Linked DNA regions of Diceros bicornis minor. The protein of the gene in region 1 purifies or fractionates together with the protein of each later gene. This does not show direct contact. Links are inferred from orthologs where the notes say so. Each region holds a gene or a part of one and is shown on either strand. Other genes may lie near its edges. The genes, in order: PHLPP2, NHERF1, NHERF2 and USP12.

What was found.
Region 2: the proteins of PHLPP2 (region 1) and NHERF1 purify together in Homo sapiens (co-immunoprecipitation; 3 studies listed by BioGRID and IntAct, with this or other methods). This does not show direct contact. The link is inferred for Diceros bicornis minor from reciprocal best matches to the Homo sapiens genes PHLPP2 and NHERF1.
Region 3: the proteins of PHLPP2 (region 1) and NHERF2 purify together in Homo sapiens (affinity purification with mass spectrometry; 3 studies listed by BioGRID and IntAct, with this or other methods). This does not show direct contact. The link is inferred for Diceros bicornis minor from reciprocal best matches to the Homo sapiens genes PHLPP2 and NHERF2.
Region 4: the proteins of PHLPP2 (region 1) and USP12 purify together in Homo sapiens (affinity purification with mass spectrometry; 3 studies listed by BioGRID and IntAct, with this or other methods). This does not show direct contact. The link is inferred for Diceros bicornis minor from reciprocal best matches to the Homo sapiens genes PHLPP2 and USP12.

The regions. Positions count from the first base shown.
Region 1 is NC_080771.1:23,615,653-23,623,011, forward strand, and holds the start of PHLPP2 (PH domain leucine-rich repeat-containing protein phosphatase 2), read left to right. Parts: upstream 1-4,358; 5' UTR 4,359-4,421; intron 4,422-6,395; exon of another isoform or gene 6,396-7,298; intron 7,299-7,359. UniProt on the Homo sapiens protein: Protein phosphatase involved in regulation of Akt and PKC signaling.
Region 2 is NC_080757.1:55,334,971-55,342,395, reverse strand, and holds the start of NHERF1 (Na(+)/H(+) exchange regulatory cofactor NHE-RF1), read right to left. Parts: upstream 3,006-7,425; 5' UTR 2,790-3,005; coding exon 2,373-2,789; intron 1-2,372. Other genes in the region: RAB37 (ras-related protein Rab-37), read right to left, coding at 5,589-5,694, 5,897-5,973, 6,051-6,107, 6,711-6,776. UniProt on the Homo sapiens protein: Scaffold protein that connects plasma membrane proteins with members of the ezrin/moesin/radixin family and thereby helps to link them to the actin cytoskeleton and to regulate their surface expression. Necessary for recycling of internalized ADRB2.
Region 3 is NC_080765.1:46,385,772-46,393,536, forward strand, and holds the start of NHERF2 (Na(+)/H(+) exchange regulatory cofactor NHE-RF2), read right to left. Parts: upstream 3,017-7,765; 5' UTR 2,908-3,016; coding exon 2,695-2,907; intron 189-2,694; coding exon 1-188.
Region 4 is NC_080748.1:10,498,880-10,505,832, reverse strand, and holds the start of USP12 (ubiquitin carboxyl-terminal hydrolase 12), read left to right. Parts: upstream 1-3,951; 5' UTR 3,952-4,097; coding exon 4,098-4,145; intron 4,146-6,953. UniProt on the Homo sapiens protein: Deubiquitinating enzyme that plays various roles in the regulation of the immune response and inflammation.

The DNA.
Region 1 (7,359 bases):
CTGTAAAGTCCCTTTTCTTTCATAATGTTGTAAGTTACATTTTCATTAAGCCCCATCACATCTTCTTTACTGTAAAAATATTAAAAGGCTGTTCCAAGTGGGACAGCTAATGAAGTTCTAATTATTGCAGACATATTTTTGAGATGTAAAAAAAATTTAAAATGATAAGTCTTAGAGGCGAGTGAGGAATAAAATGGATGTAAACATTTACATGGGATGCATTAGAATTCTGCTGTGTGTATTGTCTTTTGGTTGAAACAAATTATGAACAGTGACTAATAATAAAAAGTCAATACTCAATGATTTCACATTTGCTTCCTCGCTTCTTACAAGTGGATTAGAGAAGCCTTGGATGAATTCTTATTCCAGAGCTTTGAGCTAAACTTATTGACCTGTTAATGTTCCGTTTACACAGAAATCTCACCAAGAAAGGGATTTGAACAACTTAAAAAAACTTGTAGTTACAGGCAGTGAAAAGTACCATTGGAAATTTTAACTATATGATTATTTCCATGCTTATCTTTTCCACTTAGGTGAATTCTCGCACAAGGCAAAGAAGTCATATCAAGGTGACACATGTATTAGGGGTGGTCATGGGTTTGGTTATAAGCTTCTTTTTGTGAATTGTTCCAATATATCTGTGACTGGGAAGAGGAAGCCTTGACCTGTTAAAATGAATTATATTTCATGATCTGTTTTATATGAATTCTTCTATAGAAGTGAGAGTGGTTGGAAGTTGGAAGCTGCTGGTTTTCTATTACTCAGGTGATCTCTGGCAGTCCCTTGATTGAGAAAAGGGAGAGTGTGACAGTCCCCTAAGTGAGAAGGAGAAGGATGCAGGCCTTGGCAATTATCTAGTTTATGCAGAAGTGCCCTTTGGCACTGTTTGATAAGTGACATTTCTGTAATCTTTCCTTATATGTGGCTTAGTTAAAATTCATCTTTGTGCCTAATATTAAATTTAGTTGACAACTTCATCTACATGTAATTAGATGAAAATATAAAAGCTACAATAGAAAAGTTGAGCAAGTAATAGACTCCAGACATTTACTTAACAGTACAAGAAGTAGTGTTCAAATTTGAAATTCAATCCAGAAGGACCAAATTAATCTTTGTCCCCTTTAAAGGTTTTCCATGCTATTTCCTCCCGTAGCTCAATTGTCTCCATTTTCAAAAAATATAAAAATGTCCAAGGAAAAAATTCCTTCAAACCTTGAAGCCGGGTAAATACTGCCTGTTTATTTGGAACTAAAATAAGGAATGTCTAAGTCTGCCTAACCTGTGGTAGAACAACAAGGGATTTACACCTAAAGATCACGTTGCGATCATCAAACGAGTGGGAACTAGATACAAATAAGTGAATGTAGTAAGCTCTTATAGCTCCTCTACCAAATCTGATAGACATGAACTTTTCTTCTCTAGACCTTCTTTCCATTTTGTAGTGAGGATTAGGAAAAGCTCCTGGGATAAAGGTGTGTGTGTCCCTCCTCCTGCTACGTGGAGAAGGTACGCACAGCTGCTTATAGGAAGGATAGAGAGAGGAGGGAGTCTAATGACTTCTCTGTCTCTTAGCTTGGTCCAAACAGTGATTTTTGTAATGATGAACCTGCAGTGAGGGCAGATGGATTTGTGCACAAAAAATCCCAGAGGAATTTATTTTTAGGGTTAGTCTCAGCTGTTTACCATTTCCAGAAATTGTAGTTACATAACCCTTGGCATACATAATACACACTGCCTTGAACTGGGGGAGAACATGAATATGTGACCTTTGAAACAGTATAAAATGTTAATGACAGTACATGATTTGAAAAGAAAAGAATCAACTGGTTGTCCCTACTTAACTGAATTGGATCTTAAACCATGGAGACCTTTAAAGAGAGCTGCATCATAAGTTATCCCCTGTAATATCTGGGTGGTAGCTTGTTTTTTTTCTTTTTGAAAGAGGTACTACTGTTGTTCAAGTAGTAAATACATAACTTTTAGCATATGCTTGTATTCTGAATTGATGCTTTAGCCCACTATCCCATTAATTAAAAAAACAAGAAGTAGTAAATACATAACTTTTAGCATATGCTTGTATTCTGAATTGATGCTTTAGTCCACTATCCCATTAATTAAAAGAACAAACCAGTCATCTACCACTGCTCTTCCCCAGCATGAACTCAAATGCTAGTCCTGGAACGAAATCCTTCCCTTTCACGTGATCAATTAGTAAAGAGCTTCTGCTCATGAGATCTGGAAAAGATAATGTGTGATACCTCAAGAAACAGACTTTCCGGGGCCGGCCCAGTGGCGCTAGTGGTTAAGTGTGCGCGCTCTGCTGTGGCGGCCTGGAGCTCCCTGGTTCGGATCCCGGGTGCGCACCGACGCACGGCTCCTCAAGCCATGCTGTGGCGGCGTCCCATATAAAGTGGAGGAAGATGGGCATGGGTGTTAGCCCAGGGCCAGTCTTCCTCAGCAAAAAGAGGAGGATTGGCAGATGTTAGCTCAGGGCAGATATTCCTCCCAAAAAAAAAAAAAAAAAGAAAGACTTTTAGGAACACTAATTCTGAACCACATTTTTATTCTTTCCACTGCCTGTCCACCCTTAGTCAAGTCCACTTTTGTCTCCATGTTGGTGCCTATCCCTTACACACCAGTGTTCTTGCTGGAAGAAGTTACCCATTAAGCACTGAAATGGGAATCCAACTACTTTGAGTAGCTTTCTTGAAAGTAATTTCAAGGTAGAAAGAAAACCCAGGAGGTAGACAATCTAAGAGCTTTTTTCACCTTACACCAGACTCACAGAGACAAACCATTTTTAATTCATTAAAATGAGACAAAGATTACCGGCAATTGGAATTTTGATATATACAAAGTAACTCACATAAAGGGAGAAAATAGTGACCAAACTTTTACAGAAGAAATAATTTGTACGGGGTCAGAATCTTTGCAAGAGTCAAATTTTGTCTTGGAATTTAAAATATCTCCAAATGCATACATATCTCATAGGAGAGGGGCACAGTTAGATCTCAAACTCTCTTGTACTAAGCTTACAACTAAACCATTCTAAACATTTAGTTTGGACTAGGCAAGCTGAAACAATGGCTAATAGGTGATACCATCTTTACCAATTATTCAAAGCTCAAGAAATTATGGGGGTTTTGCTGCTTAATTCCTTAATGTGTGCTGAACAAGTTGCTTAAAGATTCATCAACACCTGTGTAATGGGGGGAAGACCTAAAAATCCGGAAGTCTGGAAAGTTTCCTAGGAAAATTTAGAGCAGAATTAACAAGGAGAGTACCCAACCAGGAATTGAGTGAATCTTAAATTCGGAAATTCAGATTACAGTGGCTACTATGAATCCCTATAACTTGCTAAGCATTTTGTATGCATTCACAAAATCTTCCCAATAACCACTAGGCAGATATTAATTTCTATTTCACAGCTTAAAAACCAAAGGCTTAGATCAAATAACTTGCACAAGGGTATAGATCTAATAAGAGGTAGAGCTGGGATTTGGAATCTGGTTTTCTAACTCCAAATTTGGCCCACTGGCCAGCCACAAAACTACCATTAATACGGAAACTAAAAGAAAATAATAAATGAACTTTTAAAGATTTTCTGAATTAGTCTTGCAAATAATAAAATGGCTCACAGACCATATTACTGCTTGAGACAGAGAATCGAATTCTGATAATTTTACTATATGAGGAGAGAAGGGAATTAAAATTTGGCTGGGAGGTGAGTTGACATTTTGTACACGAGGTTGGTGTGAATTTGCTGAAGAAGGTCTGAGCAACTCTAATAAGGAAGACAAAGGGCCTTGCAAAGGTGAGTATTCTCAACAATCCATTCCATGGCTTTGCCAGTGAGGGTGACAAGCCAGTTTTGAAGTAGCAAGAGAGGAAACGTCTTGGAGAGGTAAGTTACAAGAGTTACCCTCTGCGGAGGGCAGTGTCCTATCACTATTGACAGGTGCAGACACCCCCTGCCCCTTGTCCAGCGGGTACTTAGGAGGCGGGGATAGCAGTAAATAACCCTCCCTGCGCCTCAGTCCTCCAAACCGAGGGCAGTCAGCAGCGGAGACCCAGCTCTGTGGTGGCGCCGGCTTCGCCCGCGGGGTCCGCGGCAGCCCGCCCGCCATGGACGCAGCTCCGCGTCGGGCGCCGAAGCCCCGCTAGGCGAGCAACTACGCAGGTCCGGCTGGGCCGCGAGAGGGGCGGGAACAGGGGCGGGGCTTCGGGCAGCGGGGGGCGGGGCCTAGGGCTGATCGCGCGCGCCGCCGAGGCTCTGCGCGCTGTCGCGCCGGCCCGGCGTCCGTGTGCAGCCGCCGCCGCCGATGGGGGAGGTGGAGCTGGGGCCCGCGGGCCCGCTCGAGCCCGCGGAGCCGCCCGAAGCGCCCGCGAGCCGCCGGGCGGGCGGGATCCGGGTCCTGAAGGTGAGGAGGGCGGGAGGGCTGGGGAGGGAGCGAGGGCGGGAGCGGCCGCCTCTGCCCCGCGCGGTGGCCGAGGCAGCCGGCGACCCCCGACCCGCGTCAGTCAGTCCGCTTGGCGGCTCAGCCGCCCCGCAGCCCCGTGGGGGCGCCGCGGCCCCCGCCCGGGTCTCCACGCCTGGCTCCCGCCGAGGCCTCGGCCGCCTCTGTCCCCACCGCTGCCCATCCCTGGCCGCGCGCCACCCGCCGCCCAGGCCCACGCCTTGGGTCCGGCGTCCGCCCGGCCGCCGCCGCCCACTCGGCTCCTTCGGGACCGGGGGGCCCACCTCTGCCGCTCTCGGCCGCGCTCGGGGACCGGGGCCGGTCGCTCCTGGCCCGAGAGAGGGGCTGGAAGTACGCAGGGCTTTCTCCCCGGACACCTGAAGACATCACCCCAGAGGGAGGATGGCGGCGGTGATTGGCCGGGAGCCGCGGTGTGCTCGGGGCTGCGCCGGCGGAGCTGGCCGACTGTGCCCCCGGGCTTACCACCCAAGTTAAGACACGGCTGCCTGCTCCGAGGCGCCCGCCTGGAGAGCGAGTCCCCGGAGGAGCTTCATCCTGGGGAGTCGCTGGGCGTGTTGCAGAAAGGAGCAGGGGTTGGACAAAAAGGGGCATTCCTGCTTGTGGGAGCGGGGCTAACAATCCCGGGAGACGGTAATGGGGGAGCGGTTATGCAACAGGCAGCTCGCGGGGCTTTTTGGCAGGAATTGGGGGGAGTAGGAGGAAATAAAAGCAGATGCAGGCAAGGGGGAGAGTAGAGCCTTGAAGGTGATGAGAAGTTTAAATACACAAGGAATGTAGGGTGGCGAGGGGACAGTGAAGATGGTTCAAAGGAGGAGTTGTGGGAGACTAACTGGATGGAGTTTTCTACTAGCCTTGAAATACGTAGTTGGAGAGAAATTTTTCTGTAGGTCAGATATATAACTAGGTACCCTGGAGATGGAATGAAATTTCTTCTAGAATTCTAGAAGAGGAATGGGCAGGATTTACACTTGCCAGGGAGAAGGAAGAGAGAAAAGAAAATTTAGAAGATTTGATGTGTTTCAAAAATACTTTGCAAAACAGTGAAACTACATATTAAAAATACATTAAGTGATAGTTGTTAATTGGGATTGAGAGTGAGCACTGTATTATTAAGATTATTTGTAGGACATCACAAAGATGGGAACACTGAAAAAAATAATAGATTTGAAGCATCTGGCGAATTCATGAAACAACATAAAATAGAACTCTGTAAAATATAAAGCACTTTTCATGCTACTACCTCCCAATCTTAATAGAGATTATAGAGAAATAACTTACAGAAGTAGCTTCATAGTTTACCTCCATTTCTGTGTACAGCTTCTACATATTTATTGTAACTTTAATTTAACCATAAGTTGCAAATATAATTCCTCAAAGGCTTTTGGATATTTATTGAAAACTGTAAGGTCACAAAAATGTAAATTGTGAATGTACCAAAAAAAAAAGTTCTGCTGGCCTAGTTTATCAGGAAATGGCAGGTCCAAGACATAGGTAATGCCCTCTAGCCTAGAATGTAAACAACCTTGGCTGTTTTCTTTTTGGTGAGGAAGGTTGGCCCTGAGCTAACATCTGTGCCCATCCTCCTCTGTTTTGTATGTGGGATGCCACCACAGTGTGGCTTGATGAGCGGTATGCAGGTCTGCGCTTGGGATCCAAACCCTGGGCCACAGAAGCAGACTGTGTGAACTTAACCACTAAGCCGGCTGTCCCCTTTGGTTAACAGGCTTTTTTAATAACACCTTTTTTTTGGTGGGGAGGGAGTGAGTTGTGAGAAGGAAGGAATTGAGAAATGAGTATCTTTATTGAGGGTCCTGCCTTCCTGTACTTCCAGGAAGTGGTCCAGCGTATCACTCTTTTCCTGGGGTTCCAATCTGGGGACCATTAGAAAGATTCGAGAAATTGATCTTGATTATAGTACTGAGCTGGTGGTGTGGGAGCTGACAGTGTCTAAAGCTTTTGCATCCCTTGCTTTATTGCGTATGGTCAACACTTTAAATAATTCTTACAAATAAATGGGATTGGCTATGGAGAATAGGTGCTGTGTGTTCTACATACAGAAGTTCCATTCAATAGCTGAGTGGTTGAATTTTGTGCCAAGTGAAACTAGAAAACATATAAGTAGAAGACTTTCTGAATTGGGAAGAAAGTCATCATCTCCTACATGTTCTTCTCTGAAGACCCTTTGAAAGGCTTATTCTTTTTTGTAACTCTTTTATACTTAATACCAAATCATGAATATCATTGTTATCAAATAACATGATCTTCATAAAAAGGCTAATATATCTAAGCCAGTATAGTTTAGACAGATTAGATGTAGGTTCATCTGTATGGGGTATTGGAAAATTTGATTCAAAATCTGCTCCTAGATTTATTTAGCAAATTGTTATTTAGAATGTATCCCTTTATAGTTGTAGTTGGAATATAAGTATGATGTTTTGAGTACTCTTAAGATTATTGGGAGTATCTTTGAAGCATAAATTTTTCAGATGTTCCCTCCAATTTTGGGATTATTATTATTTTTTTACTCAGTTTGTAGAAGAAATGAAGTTACAACTAATCTAGTCAGTGAATGTTATGAAATCTGTTTCTTCAATAATAGTTTCAAGTTTTTATCAAAATAATGTGTGTATTTGGTTTTTAAAAATCAACTAATACCAAAAACATTTTAATGAACTGAAGTATTCTTCCTGTCCTTATCTCACCCCTTCCAGAATATTCCTTAACATGTATATTCCTAGAGATGAGCCCATATTGTTTTAAAGTTTTGAATGCAGCAACATATCTCCTACTTGAGGTTATTTCACATTCTACTAGAACTCAGTGAGTATGATGAGTTACTTTACCAGACCGTTTTACCATCCGTGTCTTAGAGTTAATTGTA
Region 2 (7,425 bases), on another chromosome or scaffold:
AGAGCTGGCAGTGCCCCTCCACATCCTCCCAGACCAGTACTACAGGTACCCTCACCCTCTGCCCTTATCATTCTCCACTGGGCTGTTCTTCCCAATGATATGTCACCGCCACCCATTCTCTGCATGCACTTTTCCACTTAACATCTTTTTCACTTATGAGAACTAATGAAGATACCATAACAGCCTCTACTTTGCATACAAATTCAGGCTAAAACTAACTAGTAAAACTCAAATGCTTTATACAAGAGATGTCTTTTAGGAAAAAAAAAATAACTCTTAGGATGTTTATTAACATTTTTTTGCAGTGATGGAGTGGGTCACCTGCATGACCACCATACCAGATTTAACTGGAATATCCTACTAGAGGGTCTTAACAGTGCTGATAGGCTTTGTATAAGGCCAAAGGAGTCCTTGCACAGAGCTGGGATTCCAGTGCTTGGGCATAAAGGAACTCAATTCAGCATCCACCAGGGGCTCGAGTACTTCTCATACTTGTAAAATTCTAGAGAAAGCAGGTACCACTGTAATCCAATGCTCCCATTTTACAGATGGAAGAACCAAGGCTCAGAGAAGTTCTGTGACTTGCTTGTTGACCATAAACCCAAGAGGCCTGGTGATGGTGTTCCCGGGACTGGCTGGAGGCGGTTCTGCTCCCTTCTCCTGGCCTAGCAAAGTACACACGAATGCAGGTGTCACACCACCATCTGGGGGGATCTGATTTTGTGCTCCAGGGGTGGAAGCACTGCTGCCTTTTCAAATGGTGTGGCGGGAGCTTGTGCGCTAGGTCAAACCTCCAGTCTGGCCTCTCCCCTAGCACCCCTCCCCACACACCCAGCAGCAAAACCAAAAGGGCAATGGGAGGAGTTGAACATAACTGCGACTTAGGGGGGGTGCGTTACTTGTGCGAGTGCCAAAGTCCAAATGAAAAAAAACAAACAGGGAATGGCAAATTGATGCACTCAGCACAAAGCTCAAACTGGACTTCTGCCTGGGACGAGAGGTCATAGGTTCTAACTCCCTGGTGTCAAACCCCTGCCAGGGGTGCTCCGACCCCTCCCCCATCCTTGCCAATGCCAGCCTGGCAGCGGCAGGAAGTGGGAGCCGGGCAGCCCTGTCATTGCCGGCACCCATCTCTGGCTGGACAAGGCTCCTGGTGACCTCACTTCACCAAACCAATTGGTCCTCTCAGGCTCCACCTTCTACCTTAAGGTTGAACTGTGCCCTTTCTCTGTCCAGGGAGGCTCCTGCTGGCACTAAGGACACCCCTGCCACATGCTGCCACCAGGTGGAGAGCTGGTGCAAGCCAAACCCGCCTGGGGAGGCCTCCCCCCTCCACTCTCTGGGAACAGGAGGCTCAGCACAGCTCCTGTTTGCCACTGCCCCTCGGGCAGCTGATCCAAACTGGGATCGTTTGTGCAAACACCAAACATGGGCAAAAAGCAACCAGCCTGCTTGCCGTCCAGGGACTGGAGTGAGACAGATGATGCCAGGACAGGACCACCTGCCCATGGTGAGCCCCGCTGGCCGCTGGAGGGTAGAGTACCACGGGACCACTCCCACCTCTCCCTCTCCCCAGCCATTTCTTTTCCTCCAAGGTCCTCCCTCCGCTCCCAGATACAAGGTAGCGCTTACTCCTCACATTCCTGAGAATCATAAATCCTCCTGGGTGGTGGAGCCGCCACCACTCCAAGGCCTCTGCACCTCTTCTCCGCACCCCAGCCCCCAACACGCTGCCCTGAGACGGTGGGGCTTCCTCTTCTTTCCTAGAAGTCACCCGACCGACTTCAGGAGGAGGATGAAGTCCAGCCGGCCTGAAGTTAATGATATACACACCAGCGGGCTGGGGGGAAGGGAGAACCCTGTCTGCGATCCCTCCCCTCCCAGCGCCGGGGCTCCGCACAGAAAAGGCGGTTGTTATTCCTCTAGCTCTTTGAAGTCGGAGCCGCGCTCGCTTCACTCCAGCTTCCGTTACCACCCACAGGGGCCGTGGAGGAAGCTGGCACCTCTGGGGCGGTGAGGGCGAGATTGCGTGGTTCCGAGGAACGGGAGCAGACCCCACCAACAGAACCCAGAAAAGGGGACCGGGCTCCCTCACCTCCCTACCAAAGACCAAGGGTCAAGAGGTGTAGGTGGTAAAGGCGCTCAGGGTCCCAGCCCTGTCTGGGAAGGGGAGTGGGGGTCGCGGGACGCAGCCCCAAGCCTGCAACCGCCAGTGCGCCCAGTCGGCGGGCGGAAGCAGTCCCTCCCTCGAGGATCGGGTTTCAGAAAGACAAGGCGGGAGCAGGGTTGGGAGTCCCGGGCGCCTGGGTCTCTCCCCGATCCCCCCTCCAACTTCGTTCCAGCCTCGCCGCTCGGCCCGGGCCCGCACTTACCCGCTCCGGCGGGCTCTTCTCGGCCTCGCGCGGCGCCTCCGCGGCGGCCGGCGGCTCAGCCTGCCCGGGCCCTTCCTGGGCGCGCAGCAGCTCCTCCCGGACCTGGACGCCCAGCTGCTGCAGCCGTTCGTCCGTCTCAGGGTCGACCACCAGCAGGCGCACGGCATTGAGCGCGGCGCGGATACGGCTCACCACCTGCTGGTGGGTCTCCTTCTCCACGTTCTCGCCGTTTACCTCCACCAGCCGGTCTCCGGCCAGGAGCCCCGCCTTCTCGGCCGGCGAGCCGGGCTCCACCAGCCGGATGAACTGGCCCATCTTGCCCTTCTCCCCGTGCAGGTGGAAGCCGTAGCCGTTCGGACCCTTCTCCAGGCAGCAGAGCCGGGGCAGGGGCGGCCCGGCCGCCGCGTCCGCGCTCATCTCGCCGTGGGACGACTCAGCAGCGCGCCGCGGGGTCGGGTCGGGGTCCGGAGATGGGACGGTCCAGCCCTTCTCCCCGCCCTGCGGACCAGGGGGCGGGAGAGAGCGCGGCAGAGAATTCCCGCACCGCCGGACAGGCCGAGCGAGCAGGTGTCCCAAGAGAGGCTGCCACGAGCAGCAAGGAGCCAAGCCAGGAGCGCGCGGACCAATCCCCGCCCCGCGCGGCGTCTGAGCGTTCTAGAACCCGCCCAGGTCCCTTACCCCGGAGGCGGGGCCGCGCTGAGGGTGTGGGCCACCGCGGGCCAATCAGAGACCAAGAACAGGGGGCGCTCGGGCCGGGTGAAGGACGCCGGCCAATGGGAACGCGCAGGGGCGGGGCCGTGCGCTCGGCGCGGTGCCCCGCGGCGGGAGAAGAAAGAGGGCTCAGGAAGTGGAAGTGTTTGTTTCCAAGTGGCCGGAGTTGAGGCGGGGGGCGGGGCGAGTTCCCGGTACCGGGCGGAGGGGCCCGCAGGCTCTGTTCTGGTTTCCCCCACCTGTGGCGGGGATTGAGGAGAGCCAACCCTCGAGTAAAGGACGCTAACGTTTTAACAGCCTTTAGCCAAAACCTTGTGTGCAGCTCCAATTGAGGGGGGGAGGGGGCGACTGTTGCCGGGGAAACCGCTCCCGCTCCGGGGCTGCGAGGTCCCAGCGGTGTGAGGAGTAAGACGGAGGTCCACTTCGGACCCAGCAGAGTTGTCTGAATAACGATATTTTCCCATTTGCGGAGTCACTTTGCACTGTCCCAGGACCTGCTTATAGGAGTGCGGGCTCTGATCCTGGTTGGGACAGTGCGAGGGTCTCAGCAGAGAGCCCAGGCTTTGCGCGGCTGCCCACCGAAAAAGGCCACCTAGGTAGGGCAATGGCGTGGGCATTGGCGTCAGCGTTCGGCTAGGGAGGTGGGGTGGAGAGAGGCAGAACAGAGTCAGGTAATCATCTCTGGGTATAGTCTCCAGGGCAAGGAGACCTGGCTTTTTTCAATAGAGAAAGAATGATTAGGACCGTAAGATAAACCTTTCAGTTCCTTCTTGCAGATGAGAGGCTGGTCACAGAGGCTGAGGGGTGGTCTGTAAAGGATGAGGTGACCAGTTGGGGACATTGAAGGATGAGGATCAAGTGATTTTGGCTGTCAATGACAGTTCCCCCAGCATGCAATAACAATCCTTTCAACATGACTCCCGCCCCATGGGCACCTCAAAGAAGCAGGGGACAGTGTGTACTTTCCAAAATACTGCAGTTTAATTCTGGAAAACACAAATGCTGGAGGCCCAGTACAGCCTACATGATTGGATCGCCTGTGACCTGCCTTGGGCCCCAGAAGAGCCGGCAAGGTCAGGCTCCTCCCTGCTCTGCTCGGGAGAGCTTCCTTATCTGGCCCAAGTTGGAGCTGCTGACTCTGCTCAGAGAGCAAGATTTCTGCCGTGGAAGCAAGTGCAGTAGCCTCAGAAATGTGCAGTGCATGCCTCTTTCTATCCCTCTCCCCCGCCCCTGACTTGGAGAGCTGGAGCAAAGGTGTCTCTCCCCACCCATGGCCCAGAGAGCTGGAGTAAGGTGCTTTAGGTCATGACCTTCATGTACCCTGGCCCTTCTGATTGCTGGGGTAAGGGCTTTGGGAGAGTTGTGACCTTCGCTCCCGTAACTCCTTGCCGCCCCTTCCCTACCCCAGTCTTACCCACATGACCTTATTTTGCACACATTGCATTGGTTTACCAGAATTGGATGACCTCTCACTCTCTAACCTGGCTTAGTAGAAAGGGAGATAGAGCAGTTTTGAGTCTGCGTCTGTCTGGGAAAAAATGGGCGTGGGTGTCAGGGAGGAGGCAGCGCTTGGGTTTAGGGGCATACATGTAGGGCAAGGTTTACTCAATTCTGCCTCCCACCTGCTCCAGGTGGTTTCTCTTTATCTGGTTTTTTCCCAGTAGAAGCACTACAGCTGCTTGAAGTAGCCTGGGGGCTGCATACCTGCTAAAGGGTTGGGACAGAAGAACCACCTTTCCCTAGCTGGGACCTTAGGTGTGTAGGGGCACAGCCAGAAAGGTAGATAAGACCAGGGATTCATGGAGGAGGGGCTTCCCTGGGATCTGAGGTCTGGGGAACAGGAACCAAATGTTTCCAGGTGCCCCAGTGTGCTTGTGGGCTGGAGGGAAAGGGTACACCTCCTGGAGGGGCGTTAGTAGGGCCAGAGGTAGCCAAACAGACCTAATCTCTGCTACTCCTCTCTCCCCCTCCCAGGGAGCAGAGTCCCTGCCCAATCTCCATATCTCCTATCTTCCCTGAGGTTTTGGTCTAGCTCCCAGCACAAGGGCCCTGTCTTAGTGGGGAAGATTGTTCCCTGGGAAGCTGGAGGACATGAAGCCTCTCTCCAGCTGAAGTGAGAGTGGGAAGGGGGTCACTGAAGTGCATCAGTGTCCCCTGGTGCTGAGCTGAGCAATACTGCCCTCATTGTGGCTAGGAGGTAGGCCCCGACCCCTCAGTCCTAGCACTAGAAGGCAAAAGGGCCACCAGGTCCTTACCTGGGCTTTCTGGTGCCTTTTTTTGTATTAAATTGTGTATCATTAAAATGAAATATAAATATTTTACCCTCCCTGGAGATGCAGGGAAGTCCAGGAAGTAGGTAGTACAGCTCCCTCTTGGGAAGGAAGGCCTGTGCACTGGGTCCCCCAGTTCTCTCCCCACTGGCTTAGCTGCTCAGAGTAAGCCAGGTCTGGGGGAGAAGGCTGCATCCTCGTGGGCCTCTGGAGCCTCCTCTCAGCCCCTTGGGAGTCACAAGAAGGAGCAGCAGCCAGGCCGCTTCTTCTGGGACTCCACATAGTCTCGGATCTGGAAGCTGGGTTCATCGGCCTGCTGCCTGGCTCTGTGTTTCAGCTCCCTGGAAGAAGAAGAAACAACGGGCTGGGTACGGACTGAGGAGCTGAGCATCCTCCCCACTCCTATGGCCCGGGGCAAATGGACCTCAGACTGCAGAAGGCAGTTGGGCCCAGGGGCTGGCGGGGGAGGGGGGCCAGGCCATACTGGATTCCCAGATGGTGCCACCCTGCCCCGCACGGTTCCCTTCCCTGCTCAGCTCTCACTTGGCAATGGCCAGAAAGGCTAACTCCACATTCATGCCTGTCTTGGCACTGGTCTCCATGAAGGGAACTCCATACTCCTGCCAGAGAGAGAGTGTCTTCAGGGCTAGCCTGTGGCTGCCCCCACCCCTCACCCTGCCCACAGGCAGTCACTTACCCTGGCCAGCGTCTCTCCGTCCTCCGAACGGATCACTCGTTCATTGTTCACATCCGCCTGTCAAGCCCAGGTGGGTCACTCTGGGGAAGGAAGCCTTGACCCCAGCTGGCCCTGCCCCTGCCTGGCCTATTCTTTGCCCCAGGAGCAGGCACTACCCGCCCTCTGCTGGTGGCCTGCAGGACTGCAGGTGGCACGATGGGCATGGGGCCAGGGTTTCTGGGTTGGTCAGGCTGAGTTACCAGCTCCCAGCCCTGGGATCTCACTCCTCCTGGGGGAGGTGGGTAACTCTCCTTGGTACGGGTGTGGTGAGCCAGCCTCAAAGGGGTGGCAGTAGTTGGGGCTAACCCTTTCCAGTCTTAGCTCCTCATCCGTGACCCTCATCACGACCATCTAATAAGGGCTGAGCAGCTGGGCAACCGTGGGTCTCTCAGGTACTAGCTTGAGCTTTCCCTGCAGGGGACCGTTTCCAAAGCTTTAAGAGGGCAGGTGACATGGGCTGAAGCTGCCAAATAGGTCTGACTCCTGAACTAGAGACTGAAAGAGTCCTTTGCTGGAAGAATGTCCAGCTAACACTCTTGGGTGGCTATGGGGCTGGTAGAGCTAATGCTGTGGCAGTGGGAGAGGAGAGGGGTGGGCTGACCCTGCCGTGGAGCCACTCACCTTGTTGCCTAGCAGCATGATCACCACATCCCTCTGGGCATACTCATGGATCTCAGTGAGCCAGGCCTGTGGGAGAGGGTGGGCTGAGCCAGGCTGAGGCTGAGCACCAGCCATTCTCCCCTTCCCTCTGGCCCTTCCTTCTTCTATTTGATTATCCTGCTCACTGACCCCAAACACGATGCCCTGTGCATTGTCTCATCTGCATCTTTGTTCTGGCCTCTCCAGTCCTGAGTGGCCCCAAACCCCATGTGTTGCAAGTCTCAGTTCTATGGAAGATAGAGGTAGCAGAGGCTTTACCTCATAAATCAGTTGGTAGTCACCAACAATTTCCTGGAGTGCCCTGTTGAGGATTGTAAGGCCACATACGGGCTCAGTGATCAAAAATACTGTGATTGATTAGCGATGTCTGCCATGAGCATGGAGTTGGAGGTGGCAGTATGAGTGCCATGGATTTCTATCCAATTTATAAGCTGTTTTATATCTACATGTCTTGTTCCTCCAATTTGTCAACTCTTTGAGGTCAGGGAACATATGGAACCTTTACAGTACTGTGCTCAGAGTCAATGCTTGTATTTGTTGAATTATTATCTCTACTCTCTAATAGTTTGGTTGTGAGGACAGAGCCACTCACTCTGCCTGCCTGAGTCACTTTCTTACAACTTGGGCTGGATGTCTGGATAGACTTTTCTGCTTGGACTCTCCCCTTGGTTTCTGA
Region 3 (7,765 bases), on another chromosome or scaffold:
TCAGAGCCGAGGCTGCCTGCACGTGCCCAGTCTGGCTTTGGTTCCCAGGGATCGTGGGCAGGCGGAAGCCCTCGGTGGGCCATCTCCTCGGTGCAGGTCAGCTGTCGCCGGCGGAGCTCCTCGTCCGTCTCCTTGTCTACCACCAGCAGCCGAGTCTGCCCCTCCACAGCCTTGATCCTCTGTACCACCTGGGACAGGCAGGTGGCAGGAGCAGGTCAGCGGCCAACACTCCAGACAGCACATGGACAGTGGCACCACCCAGGGCTCGCCTGGGCTTGCAGGCAGGCGGCTGGCCTACCAGGGGTGGGCGGCTGGACCGAGAGGCCCGCCGGCTCCACCCCCCACCCCCGGGCTCCAGCCGCTCCCTCCCTCCTCTCCCAGAGCTCCTGACACTGGGGCCCAGGATGCCAGGGCTGCAGGGTCGTCGCCTCAGCCCAGGGTCTTCTCCAGGAGAGACCAGGAAGCTGGGGGAGGCAGTGGTCTGGAAGTGACAAAGATGGTGCACGGCCAAGCTTCAGGTTTTCAGTGTGCGTGTGTGGGTGTGTGCGCGCGCGTCTGTGTGCAGGCGTACATCCATCTGTTTCAGGGTCTCTCTTGGTCTGGGTTGGAGGGAGAGAACTCTCTCCCTGGGTCCCAGTCTGAGTGTCTGTGCCCAATTCTGTCCTTCTCAGTGGTGGAGCAAGGAAGTCTAAACCCCTGCCTCTAGGCCTTCCACAAGGCACCTCCGTGGGCACCGACACACAACTCAGTAAGCAGGATTCAGACCCAGCAGGTGAGGCAGGGAGGGGCAGGTCCACCTGTAGGACGAGTGTGGCATTATGGACATCTGTGTGTCTCTGCAGGTGCATGTGGGTGCCATGGAGCATGCATGCCAGTGCGTGCCCTGCAGGAGAAGGGGCAGTGCCCACTGGGCTTTGGGGTAGGAAGGGCAACACCCCCACCCCAAGGCCTGGAGGACGGCAGACGGGACCCCCATCAGCTACTTGGCAGAAGTTGTCAACAGATAGGAGGGTCTAGACCAGGCCCACCTTCCCCCCACCCCCTGCCCCTCCTGTCCTTCCTCTCTCCCTGTGACCCACAGAGCCACAGGAGGACCCCAGCACCCTGCTGCATCCTGACTGTGGGACCCAGACAAGTCACCCACTATCTCCAAGCATCAGTTTCCTCATCTGCAAAATGGGAGCCGTAACTGCATCTCCTCCTTCCTGGGGCAGTGAGAGCGACCCACGTGGTCCTGTGTGTGAAGTTCCTGGAGACCAGCACCCAGAAGCCTGGGATAAGCAGGCGCTCTTGGGGCAAGGGTGACAGTGACTGCTACGCAGAGGCCAGGCACCAGCTCTGCCAGCCCCTCCCCGCGGCCTGTCAGGCCAAATCCTCTGGCCCTGACCCCTATCCTCCTTCAGCAAACAGCTTCATCCAGTTGACACTCTGGCTGGAAGACAGAAGGACCGCAAAAACAAATGGATAGACAAGGGCCCCAAGGGTAGAGTGGGAGCTCAGCTCCAGGCCCAGTGAAGAACCAGAGAAGAACTCATCTCTAGGCCCCAGGGCTGGCCACACAGGCGGGTCAGAAACTCATAGTGCTGGGGGGACACAGAGGACCCTGGAGCAGAAGGGGGGAGGGAGGCTGGACCCAAGCCAGGTGAGCCCCTGGCCAGTGGAGATGGACCCCCCTCCAGGGGTCAGAACCTGCAGAGAGGAGACCCTGCCCTCCCTCTGGCCTTCATCTCCAGCTGCAGGGGGCAGGGTCTGTGGCCAGTGACCCCTGCAGGGCCAGCAGCCTCCACAGAGAGGAATGTGCTGCCAGCAGTAGCGACTCCTACTGGGACCCAGACACCATCAGCCAGGACACACACTAGGGCACTGGCCTGCCAACATACACTGATGACTACACACAGCCGGGCCGGCAGACACACACACACACAGCCCAGCTCACACACACATCCAGGCATGCAGCTCTATCCACACTCACACATCCAGGCATGCAGACCTGTATATTGATACATACAGTCCAACACATACACAGAGCCCAGCTCTCACACACGTCCAGGCATGCAGATCTATCCACACACATCTAGGGGTGAAGACCTGTCTATTCACCCACACAGTCCAGCACACACATACACATACACACTCACTGATACACGCACACACAGGTGTGCCCTTACTGTGACACCTCCCAGGTACACACAGATAAATGTATGCACATCTGGGTGATCCCCAGAGGGACCTGCACACTCACACACATTGTCTGTGTACACACGCGCATGTCTACACACTCAAAGAAAAGCACCCAGGGTACCCACTTGCATGGAAACCCCCCTAAGGTAACCGACACCTCCACACATGGCACAGGGAGTCCAAAACAAGACTAAACTAGGGCCAAGGACCCAAGAGCCGCAGTGCGGGCCCCTCCCTGCCAGGATCTCCCCCCGCTCTCCGCGGTGCAGGGCTGAGCTTCCTGGGGGGGGAGGCTAGGAAGGAGGCCGGCGGCCGCTGCCTCCGTGGCCACGTCCCCCACCTCCCCGGGGGAGCTCACGCAGGCCCTTGTGCAACCCCCTCCCGGCCCCGGGCAGGGAGCCGAGGCCTGGAAGCAGGCGGCGCCGAGCCCGGTGGTCCTCAGCGCCCCCTGCGCGCGCGGGGCAGGGACGCGCTCCCCGGGGAGGGCCCGGCGGGCGGGGCGCGGGCACCCACCTGGTGGTGCGTCTCGCCCTCCACGTTGACGCCGTTGACCTCAACCAGGCGGTCTCCGGCGCGCAGCGCGGCCGCCTCGGCCGGGGAGCCGGGCTCCACGCGCCGGATGAACTGCCCGCGGCGGCCCTTCTCGCCGTGCAGGTGGAAGCCGTAGCCGTGCTCGCCGCGCACCAGGCAGCACAGGCGCGGCCGCAGCGGCTCCGGCGCGGCCATGGCGCCGGCTGCCCACCCGCCGGCCCCGAGCTGGCCACGGCGCTCACGCCCGCCGCCGGCAGGCAGGGGCGCGGGGACGGCGCGGAGGCGGCAGCGGCGGCGGCGCTGGAAACCCGGCGGCGGCCTCGGCGGCTCCCGCTCGGCTCCCGACGCCTCGGGCTCCGGCTCGGGCTCAGGCTGCGGCACCGCCCCCGCGCCCGCCCCTTCCCCGCCCCCTCCGCCCGGCCGCCCCCTCTGCCCCGGGCCCAAGCAGTCGTGGCCTTGCCCCTGCCTTGGCGTCCCGCTAGCCCGGGGGAGCCCGCAGGAAGTAGGGGACTGCAGGGCCAGGGGACCCCGAATCACCGGGACCCGCTGGTCTCGCCCCCACTCTGGGCAGCCTCCTTGGCGCCAGCGCCTTTGCCTCCTATTCCAGGAACTTTTATTGAGCACCTACGGTATGCGTGGCACCAGCACGGAGGCGGGCTCTTGAGGTGGGGGAGGGGGTGGAGAAAGTGTCCTCAGGCCGAGGGACCCTACACAGTGGCCAGAGGGTAAGAACAAAGGCAACAGCTCTGCTCACCTTCCTGGGAAGCCCCCTCACCACCACCACCCCCACCCCAGCTGTCTGTGTATCTGGATCCTTCCTGCGCCCGGAGCTGCCCTGGCCGGGACCAGAGTCCAGGACACTCCAGGAGGCAAAAGAGGGATTTGAAAGTGATATGGCAGCAGCCCTCCCCTATAACCTGGAGGCCAGTGACTGGGTGACTCCCCTACCCCCTTCAGGAGTGTTTGTGCCTATCTGTGCTGCATACATCCATTAAACATTCCCCCTACCATCCCCTCACTTTGCCAGGGCCCCTCGCTCGTGCCCCTGCCCATCCCAGGCCTGGTCTGTGACTACAAGGAGTGCAGGGAGGAAATGCAGTTGTCTGGCTGGGATGAGAGAGTCTTTGCTACCCTCCTCCTGACCTGGGATGAAATGTGCTGAGGAGTTCGGTGTCTGAGCTCTCAGACCCCTTCAGATCTCCCTTCCTCCACCCCAGCCCTCCCCTCCCTCTCTCCTCCCCTTCCCCTACAGCAGCCCCCACTCCCACCCCACAGCATGAGTGCCCTCTTCCCCCAATTGGACAATAATAATCACAATGCAGAATCACTTATGCTTCCTTGCGCCTGAGTGCATTTTACCTGGAACAACCATACGGGACTCAGGCCATTTTACAGATCAGGAGACTGAGATCTGGAAAGGGAAGAGACCCAGGCAAAGTTCCCCAGCTTCTCCTGGGCCCAGGGCTGTAAGATTCCAAATCCACACTCTTCACCATGGAGTTCATTCTCAGCCTCAGATACAGGAAGACAGCTGAGCTGCATGCTCACCCTCAGCCTGCCCCTCCCCAGCCCTGCCCTGCCCTACCCTGTACATACCTGGTCACCCTCACCCTGCCCCTCCCCAGCCCTGGCCCCCCACCCCCTGCACATACCTGGTCCCCGGGGGGGCAGGCACAGCCAGCCCAGACAGCTCCCCATGAGGGCAGAAGCAAGAGTCGGCTCAGGCCCCGTCCTTGCATCTCCTTCTCCCCTCTCCATGCCCTCAGCCTGGGCTCCCAGCCCCCGCCAAGCACAGGGCCCGCCTCTGGGCAGCTTCCTGGGCCACAGCCCCTTGGGTGTCCACACCCCAGCTGCTGCCCCTAAAAGCCACTTAGGCCGAAGCTGCACGGCTGCTCCCCCACCCCCAACTCCGAGTTCCTGGCTGATGCTGCCATAGGCCCCCACCTGGCTGGCCACCTCCATCTGTCTGTTTGCCTGTCCAGAGGCTGCCTGTCTGGCCTGTGGCTGGCCTCCCTGGACCCAACTTGGTGCTGCTGCCCCTGGAGACTGTGAGGATGGGTGCGGGCAGTGCGGTCCCAGCATATACCACAGCAGGTGGGGCTTAGGGGTCACCCCATAGCAACCAGGACCACCCAGAATGTGCCATGCTGTAGCTTCAGGGCCACACTGGAGTTGAGGGATGGGAGACCCCCAGGCTGGGGGGTCGAGAAGGTAGGGGCCCCTGGTCCCCTGGTCCCCTGGGTCAGAAGGCTTGGAGACCTCCTCCCCGCTCCGTAGGACAGATGCTCCTCATCAGCCTTGGGCCCTCACCACCTTCTGCAGCCCGGGACTCAGCCTGTGGGTGAAGATGGATGGGAACAGAACACCACTGGAGGGAGGGATAGCCAGGGGCATGTGGTCACAGGGGCCAGGAACACTGCATCCCAGAATAACAAAGGAGGCCCTAAAGCAGAAAAGGAGCTGAGGAAGTAGCAGGGAAGGTAACAGAGTAACAAAGGCAACATTAGAGTGACAAGGGGGCGTAACAAAGGAAGTGGATGACAGCAACAGAGTAAATAAGGGCAGCCAGGGAAGAGCTGCAGGTCACAGTTCCCAAGGGCGGACAGGAATGAGAGGGAGGGAATGGGGTCAGTATGGAGGGCCTGGGATAACAGAGGTGAAGAAAGGGGGCCCAGTAGCTCTCCTGGGCACACTCCCCCAGGCCTCTTCCTCTGGCCTTGGCCTCGGGCGTGGGGCGCTGTGATGGAGGCGAGAGGCACAGAGAAAGGGGCAAAGGCAGCAAAGCAGAGGGACAGAGGGCAAAGGCCCAGAGTGTGGGCTGAAAGGTGTTGGGGGCTGTAAGTTGCTCAGGGTCGCTGGGGAATGTGCTAGGGAGCTAGCTGATCAGTGAGGCCAGCAGCGGGCAGGAGGAGGTCGGGTCGGAAGTGGTCAGAGGTCTGGGGGATCCCCACCCTTGGCGCCCTCATCCCTGTCCTGCCACCTTGCTGCGCAAGCCTTGGGACAGAGGGATAGTGGATCTTTCGTTGCTTCCCTCCCCGGGGTTGTCGGACGGCTCACCCCGGGAGGGCTCACCCCAGGGAGGGCTTGCCCCCGTGATCCTGTTGCGGGGAGGGGGAGTTTCCTCTGACCTTTGAACCTACCTCCCTGCTGCGACGCCCCCAGGGGTGGGGCGGAGCCTGCGCCTAGGCGGGGACTCTGGGATGTGGCGGTGGGCAGAAGCCTGGTCACAGCCAGAGGAAGGACTGGGGGCCGTCTCGGGGATGGAGCCATTAGCCTGACGCCCGGGTAATGGCCCAGAGCTTCCCAGGCCGGCACCTCCTCCCTAATGGGCATTAATGGCTCCACGGGATGACCAGTCCTCACTTATGGCCTCCTCCCTCAGACTACACCAGGCCTCTCTTCAGAGCCCGAAATCGGAGCAGGCGGGACCACAGCGACGGGAAGAGATAACAAGATACCTAGAGACGAGGTGGGGAGGGGAGGGGAGGGGACGGAGGAGGGGGAGAGAGAGAGAATGCAAAGACCAGAGTGGCCCCGCCCTTGACCCGCCCCTAGCCCGCCCATCGCCGGAGGCGCGGAGCGGTGACTGTAGCCCGAAAGAGCAGCTGCGCAGCGCCACCTCCCGGCTCTGGGTGGGATGGCATCGTCCGAGGGGCTGCCCTAGGCCCCGCCCCTATGGCTCCGACTCGGTCCAGCCCTGCCTCGCCGGGTGGCGATTGCGGCGAGGCTGACGCCCTAGAGCTGCTTGCACTGCAGGGGCGTAGGGGTGCCGCGGAGGCGTAGGCAGAGAAGCCGGGCCTCTGCCGAGCCCCTAATTGGCTCTGCTCCTTCACCTTGGACCTGGCACTAACCTATCTGGACCAGGGTTCCTCCAGGCAACATGAAACCTAGCCCCTCACCAAGTGTCCCGGCACTTGTGACCAAACATTTGAGGACCACTTCGTGCCAAGCGCTGGAGAGCACCGGGGAAACATCGCTGAGACCCCTGGAAACAGGGATCTGTGTACCTTGGCCAGGGGAGGCCCAGGGCTGGGGCAGCCCAAGGAGAGGCATTGAAACTGGCCTGGGGCCCTGGAGTCCTCCTTCAGGGTGGACCAGGGAGCTGTTCTGGAATCTGCCCAGAGTTTCCTGCAGGCTGTGTGGGGAAAGGGAGGGAGCAATGAGACTGGGGGACAGGGCCCCCTGTCCCTGTGGCCTTGCCCCAGAGCATAGATTTCATCCCATCAGTGGTGGGAAGCCCTTGAGGTGCATTGGGAGTAACAAGCTCAGGACACCCATGTTTTGAAAGACTGAGTTTGGCAAGGAGCAGGGGTGGGAGTGGGCTCGGGGAGAGGAGAATGAGGGGTTTGTGACCACCTGTTCCCCCAGTGCAGATCCTGGGGGCAAAAAACTGAGTGGGATCAGGGTAAATAAATTCAGGGGTCCATAGAATCAAAATGAGTCCCCACATTAGAGGACCACATGGGGAGAAGGATGCACCCAGGAGAGCAGAAGAAATTGCCAGTGAGGAGAAGTGGGGGCTTCCAGAGGCCAACGGGGGGGTGTGGGGGCTGGTTCCACATGGGCCTCCCAAAGCCAGCTGGCTAGACAGACATGGGACCACACCTCCTCCATCCCTTGCTGGGTGCCCCAAGGGGAGACCTTGCCACATGGCCAAGGAGGGCTCCAAGGGTAGACAGCATCAGGGCACAGTGACTAGGCGCTTCAAGGTCCAGGACAGTTGTGGGAGTCAGAGCCCACACTGAAGAGGGCTGAGGAGAGACCAGGAGGGTGGTGGGGCCCAGACATTTGTGAGGGGGGAGCTGGAAGGGGGCCCAGGTGGAGGGAGGTCCTTGTTATTCAAGATGGCAGAGTACGTTTACATGGGGGCTGGAGCCAATAACTGGAAATGCAGAGGGGGGAAGAGGTGGAGGACCCTTCCTCCCTAGGAGGAGAGCATGTCTGTGAAGAAGGGGGCCAAGGGGTTCCCACTTCCTCTTTGGACACCTTTGGCTGAGGGGAGGGAAGGGTTCCAAGGAGATCCAGGTTTAAAATGAATGCTGGGAGATGGGGG
Region 4 (6,953 bases), on another chromosome or scaffold:
CCAGGCTTCCTCAGTGTCTGTGCGTGACTTTCCCTCTGCCCCAGAGACCACTGCCTTCCCCTCCCCCATCACTGTTCATCCTATTCTTCCAGTTGGTGAAGCTGCCCTCAGCTTGTCCCCCCTGCAGGTAGAGCTAGTCCCACCCCACTTAGAGCTGACAGCAGTTGGTCCTTCATTTTATCAGCTCATTTTCCATAAAAATCATCTGTCTACCCCAATGGACTGTGTGCTCCCTGAGGGCAAAGATTTTTCTTATTCATCAGTAGGTGATCAACAGATACTTGTTTTAATGAACGAACTCAGATTTCAGTTTTAAACAGAGTATAATATGGCTATGCCTTTGGTCCTTCTCTTTTAAACCTAGATTTAAATAATGACAAAGTTTTAGATATATTAGCTATACACCATCCTCCCCAGCAAATCAAAGTCATACATCCATTGTGCAGATGACTCGACTATCCTCTGAACGGGAAGTCAGCCTTGAAAAGTCAATCACTGGTCTGTTGATTCAAACCAACAGAAGAACATCACTGTGTTGATTAACATCTACCTCTGGACAGCTGGATGATGTTAATTAAAGCCACCAAGAAGGTTGGTTCATTCAGCTGTCAAAGGGCAGGGGAAAGAAGGGGAGAGATCATGAGTTTCACAGTCAGAGTGTGTGAGTGTGGACCGTGCTCTGCACAGGCTGAGCAGCGTCATGGTGAAAGTGGTAAAATGAGCATGGATGATGGAGCTCCAGGGGCACTGGAAGGTTACATTAGAGAACGCATCTGAAGTACTAATTAGGTGCCTGGCACACAGCAGAGGCTCATTCAATCTGAGGGCATAAACTGACAGCCTGAGGGCTGTGTTTGCCCACTCTGACTTTAAAACTGTTGACTTTGGCCATTCAGAGCTCTCCAGTTTGTGTTGAGTGATGGGCACTATTCTAAACACACCTCCATGTTTTATCCTCGTTACACCCCTCTGAGGTAGACATAATCATTACCTTTATTTTCCAGATGAGGAAACTGAGACAAAGAAATACTATTTGAGTATATTTTATAGCTAAAATCTGCATGTGGGTCCCTAAGGAGTCAGTGCCTCTCAACCTCATCCCACTAGAATCAAAATGAGGTACTTGAACACGAGCTGGTATAGCAGAGTGGATGCAAGTGTGGCCTCTGGAGCTAGGTTCAAATCCTGGTTCCATCGCTTACTAGTTGTGCAACCTTGGGTAAGTTATCTCTGTGCCTTTTCTCACCTAGAAAATGGGGAAATACGTCACTGGGTTGTTATGAGGACTTCATAAAATGCTTGGTGCACAGACAAGTCCTCAATAAGCACTACCTGTCATTATGGATGTCTTACGCCCCCGCCCCACACTCCCCCCAACCCCCACAACACAGGCATTTCAGTCATTTCTGTTAGCTGGTACAAAACCGAATTCCTTCAGGGAGAAGAGAGGTGGCAGAAACACAAGAAGTGACGTGTGGTTAACGGGAGACAGGATGAGTAACAGAAAACATGAAGCGGCCTGCGAGGAACTGGACAGTACAGGATTGTGTAAAAGTATTCAAATGAATCAATTTTAAAACAGTAGGCTGACCGAATGGATTAAGCTTGGCCCCAGTTTGTTTACTTCCTCAGTCCATGAAGTTATCTGAGTATATTTTGTAGTTTACCCACTCAGGAAGGCCCAAAAGAAGTCAGTTGTACACAAACCCATCTTTCCCTAGGCACAATGAAGTTCTTTGTAAAACTGATACAGTTGCAGGTAAAAGCTGTGTTCTAAGCCCAGATGACCTATTCCCAGCTCTGGGTGCAAAATGTGGTGTTGCAGCCAAACCTTATCTTCAACTGCATTACATATGGTAAAACCCCCAGTACAGTGCCCAGCACACAGAGGAATCTCTCTTACGCTCATGCCTCTTCAGTCAACCTTAGGCTCAGGACACGAGGCATTGTGAGGTTCTGCAATTAGGATCTCACCTGCAAAGTTAGACAGCTATAACACCAACTAGACACAATTCCAGATAATTCTATTAGAAATCCATTTTAAATAGGACTCATTCTTCTATAAACTTATGTGTGAAGCTGGTGGCCTCTGTTCCTGTGACTTTTTAGGATTCACAGACAAGGAGGCATGTTGGTGGGCAGCATAGACGGAGGCAGGGCTCAAATTCTGGCACATTAGACCTGTTTGCTGGAACAGAATAGCAAGTGGGGAGGACAGGATGACAACAGACATTTATCCAAGTAGGTGAGACAGATAGGATCCAGGGCCGTGGTGACACTGGTATGGGGCCCAGGCAGGCTCTGGAGATCTAAGCAGGATGGAACACAGCAAGAAAGAACTCAGGTGGGTGATACTTCTAAGTCTAGGGAGGGCAACAGGGAGGCAAGCACTCCATACAGCTGAATGTGTGGCAGTGAAGCACATGGTCCTAGCCACCCGCTTGGGTATCAGGGCAAAGAGGGAGGGCCCCAGCTTCCGTGGAGGCAGGTGCCTGGAGAACCAGGACAGCTGCTCTGGGACTTGGCTATATTCTATTTGCAATTTTTTTCCCCAAGCAAGCTTATAATGGAAATCACTATGGAAACAGCATTCATGTACCAGAAATCTATTTTTCACCTAAATTTTATTTGAATGCTGTGTTTTGTTTTTTGAATGCTTTGAATCTGTGAGGTAAGGCATATCTGATTTTGGAGCTTTGTCTGAATTCAGGCCCTCAGCCCCACTGAAATGGTGGAACTCCAAAAAGCACCCCATCATTACAGTTCACCAATTGAGAAATACCACAAGCTTTCTAACATAATAATTTATAAAGTTATTCTACTAGCTTGAACGACTTTCTCAAACAGGAAGAAATCAAGCTAAGCTGCCTGACACAAAGAGCAGGGTGCAATGAAGAATTTTACAAACCTCGAAAAGAGGGGCTATCCCACTAGCTAACACTGGGTTAAGACTTTCTCACAGTACGTTTTTCTCACTTGCGAGACTTCTTGTCTCTGGTAATATCATCGTCACTGCTGAGTGCAAATCTTCCCTATTTTGCAACTCAACTTTAAGAACAAATATACTTAGATACTCTATTTATAAACATTTTCTAAATTTATGGCCAAAAGGCAGGCGGGAAGGCAGCTTCGTCCCTCTGCTCCATTACTTACCTTTCTTCTTAATTCAAAGAGCTAAACATACATAGTTTCTTATCTCTTTCATTTTTATTCTATTAATTTGACTTTCGCCGTTATGGTGTTTTGACCCAGGTGATTCACCCAACATATGTAAACAGAAACCACTTTACATTTTAAGTGTTTGGGACATTGCATTACCCGGGTTATTTTAACCTATTTTAACCATATAGAAGCAGGTTTCTTTCCACCGCTCCCAGAATTATCCAGACCATGGTCTCCGTTTTCGTTTCGAAGTGGGGACTAGCTGTCCCCGCGCCTTCGGCAGAGGCTGCGGGTCAGTCCCTTCCAGCATTGAACCAGACGGCTGCCGCCTACCCTGCAGCGACTGGAGCCTCCCCCGGGGCCCCTCTCGCAGCCAGGGCTGAGTCGGCCCACGGGCTCTAGGACCGCGAGGGACGCGGGCAGGAGGCGGCGCCCGCCGAGCCCCCGCCCCGCTCGAGCTCGGAGTGGGGCGGGCGCCGGAGTTTCCCGGCTCGCGCGCTCCAGGGCCGGGGCGGCGTGCGCAGGGGTGGGCGGGGCCGCGGGGCCGCGCGGCCGGTGGGCGGGGCGCGCCGCGGGGCCGCGCCGCTGCCGGGCAGGCCGGGCATTAGGGCCCCGGCGGAGCCCGCTCCCCAGCGCGCTGGGCGGAGTGTGCGGCGGGCGGCTTCGCGGGCAGGCGCGGGCCCCGAGGCAGCGGCTGCGCCCTGCGCCGGGGAGGAGCCAGGGGCGGGCGGCCGGCAGGCGGGGGCTGGGGCCCGGGGCGGGGAGTGCCGGAGCGCCGGGGGTGACGACGGCAGCGGCGGCAGAGCAGGCTCGGTGCGCGGGTCCGCGGCGGCTCGGGGTCCGCCCGCGGGCTGCGGTGCGAGCGGGCGGCCCGGCTCCCCTCCTCCCCCGCCCGCTGCCGCCGCTGTGATTGGGTGGAAGATGGCGCTGGGCGGATGGAAATCCTAATGACAGTCTCCAAATTCGCCTCCATCTGTACCATGGTAGGTGCGTCGGGAGGGCGGCCGGGGACGGCCGGGACCCCCGCGGGCGGGCGGCCGGCCGGCCCGGCGGCGCAGCCCGGGTCTCCGCCCGTCCGCCGGGCCGCCCGCGGGGCCTAGCGCGGGGCCCCGCGGCCCGGGCGGGGGGCGGCGAGGCGGGCGGGGGCGGTTGGACGGCGGCGGGCGGGCGGGGAGCGCGGGGGATGAGCGGCCCCGGGAAGGGGCCAGGCGTAGGCGAGCCGGCGCGGCGCGAGGGTGACTAGCGAGGGGGTGGCCGTGCTGGACGTGGCGGGGGCGGGCACGGGGCCAGCGCCCCCGGCCGAGCGGAGAGGCGCGGCGCCCGGGGGCTGGAGCGCGGCCCGGGCTGGGGTCGGAGGGGGAAGGACGCGGGCGGCGCGCTGTCCATTTCCGTCCGGCGGTGCGCCAGGCGGGAGGGGTCCCTGGGCCGGGATGGGGGCTGCCGGCCGGAGGCAGGGTCTCGTTCCTGCCCAGGAGAGGACGGAAGTCAAGTGCACATTTTCTCCCCGCGCCTCTGGCGAGGCCGAGTCCCCCACCCGCTGCTGAGGGGAAGGGGGTGTGTGTGAAGGTGGAAACTTTAAATAAGTGCTGTTGAAATTTTTCCCATCTTCTACTCTTTCTCAGAGGAACGAGCTCTCCCTTTTCCAGCCATGTGTCCAGGTGGCAGTCTTGTCTTTGGGAATCCACGTTAATCTTGTAAAACAGCTTAAGCTTTCCTGTCGTTTGTTTACTTTAATACCCCAGCCACATCTCTGTGTGGCTTAAAGTATTTCTGTGCAGGAACTGACTGCGAGGGTTATTGTGTGTGTTTTATTGGGGCTTTTAAATAGACTTTAAGGGAAAAGTGCTAATGCCTGTCGAAAAGTTCCGATTTAAGCAAAACGTGCGTGCGTTTCAATCTTGGTGTTTTTGTGCTTGGCCGGAAGGACCACAGTCTTCCACACGATGGGGCAAATTCGTTTCGTTAGCTCCTTAATGAGCTTACGTCTAGGGATCATAATTATGAGCCGTCACAGAAGAAAGTTATCCTTTGCAACGTGGGCCTAGTGATTATGCTATTAAAGACTTCTGAAATCTTTCCTTCTGTTTTATGTCTTACTAGCCCTTTTTATGCACCCGATTGCATGTAGGAGATCCCCAAGCAATCTTCGGTTTAAGGGCGGTACATTTTATGTATCTTTATATGCGTATATATACATTTATATACCTATATATACATTTTATATACTTTAAGGAGTGGTGAATCAGATCGGAAAGATGGTTTAGAAGCAAATTCTGTACTGCACGCAGAGGGACAGTATAAAAAATGGCTGAAATCAGGTGGGGTTAAAATCTACAGTATTAAATCATATTGAATGGATCATTGAAGACTTCCATTTTCCCAAATGGATGTTTGTTTTTTTTCTCACAATTTGCATTTCAGGAAAGCATTGATATTAAAGGGACTATATTAAAAAGATTGCCAAGGTTCATTTGGATTATTTTTAGATAAGCCAATTATTAATCTGTTTTAAAAGGAATGTGATAATTAAGTCTTTGAAAGTGCTGATCTTGCCAGATTGCTGAGCTGCACAGATTGTCAGGTCATAGTTCACTGTGGGAGTCTGGGGTTTCAGGAGTGATGTGTCGTTCTTTACTGACCAGTCTTCCACTCCAGTATGTCAGGTATACTTTTAGCACCTACTGAGTGCTAGAGCCTGTGCTGAGGATACAGCAGAGATCAGGACAGCCCTTGCTTTCATGGTGTGTACATTCTAGTTGAGGGAGACAAACAATATTCAAGTAAACTTATTAATAAATATAATATGTGCTGTGATCAGATTAGGAAAATGAGGCACAGAGAGATTTGCTAAGTCAGACACTGAGTAAGTGGGGTTCTGATCTCGAGAGTGTCGGACTCCAAAGCTCTTCCTTGGGCTTCCACTCAGGTGCGTTAATTGTATGTGGTGTGTGTGTATTGTTGGCAAATACAGAAATATCTGCCTGGCCAAATGAGATTGTTCCAGAAGTAGTGTTAAAATTGGGTGTGTCTATATTCATATTCAAATAAATTCTAATGTGCTCCCAAAATAATGCTAAACATCTCAAAGTAATGTGCAGTCTTTTCTTTCAAGAAAACTGCAGCTCATCTGAGAATTACAAAATTAACAATCAAGAAAAGCAAAGATATTTACCTCCAAGCCTTGGTAGATGCTATTTTTCTAGGCTGTGAGCGCCCCCCTCACCCTTGTCTGGCGAGTTCATGCCTCTGTCTCAAGCAGGGAGACTGACCTGAATAATCCCACCCTGTCCATCCCCATCTTCCACCCCCCTCATAGAATTTCACAGCATTTTTGTAATTTTGGTAGCTCTTAATCATACTTACTGTGTTGTAAATTTTTCTCTTATCGCCTTATTGGATTCTGAAGGCATTAAGGGGAATGACTATCGTTTATTTCTGCGGTTTGGTGGAGCACTAACTACTGCATACAATAACAGAGTTTCCCAGAGTTCTTCATTCTCCTCCTGGCTATCTGAGGGAAGTGAGTTTGGTTAAGCATGGATGAGATGGAGTGGAGAGGAGAGAAGAGGGCTGAGCCTAAATAGAGTGATGCTTCTCAGAGAATCAGCAGCTGTGAAAGCGTGGATGATGAATTGGAATTAATCAAGTTTACATAATTTTTTTTCATTTGTCAACGTAAGGTACGTGGGCAAATCAGCGATATCTTTATTGGGTTGAGTAACTCTGTTCAAGGCAAATCTCTTCAGATATGTCTTATTCTAGATCACTGTTGTTCTGCTTACGTGTGAAAA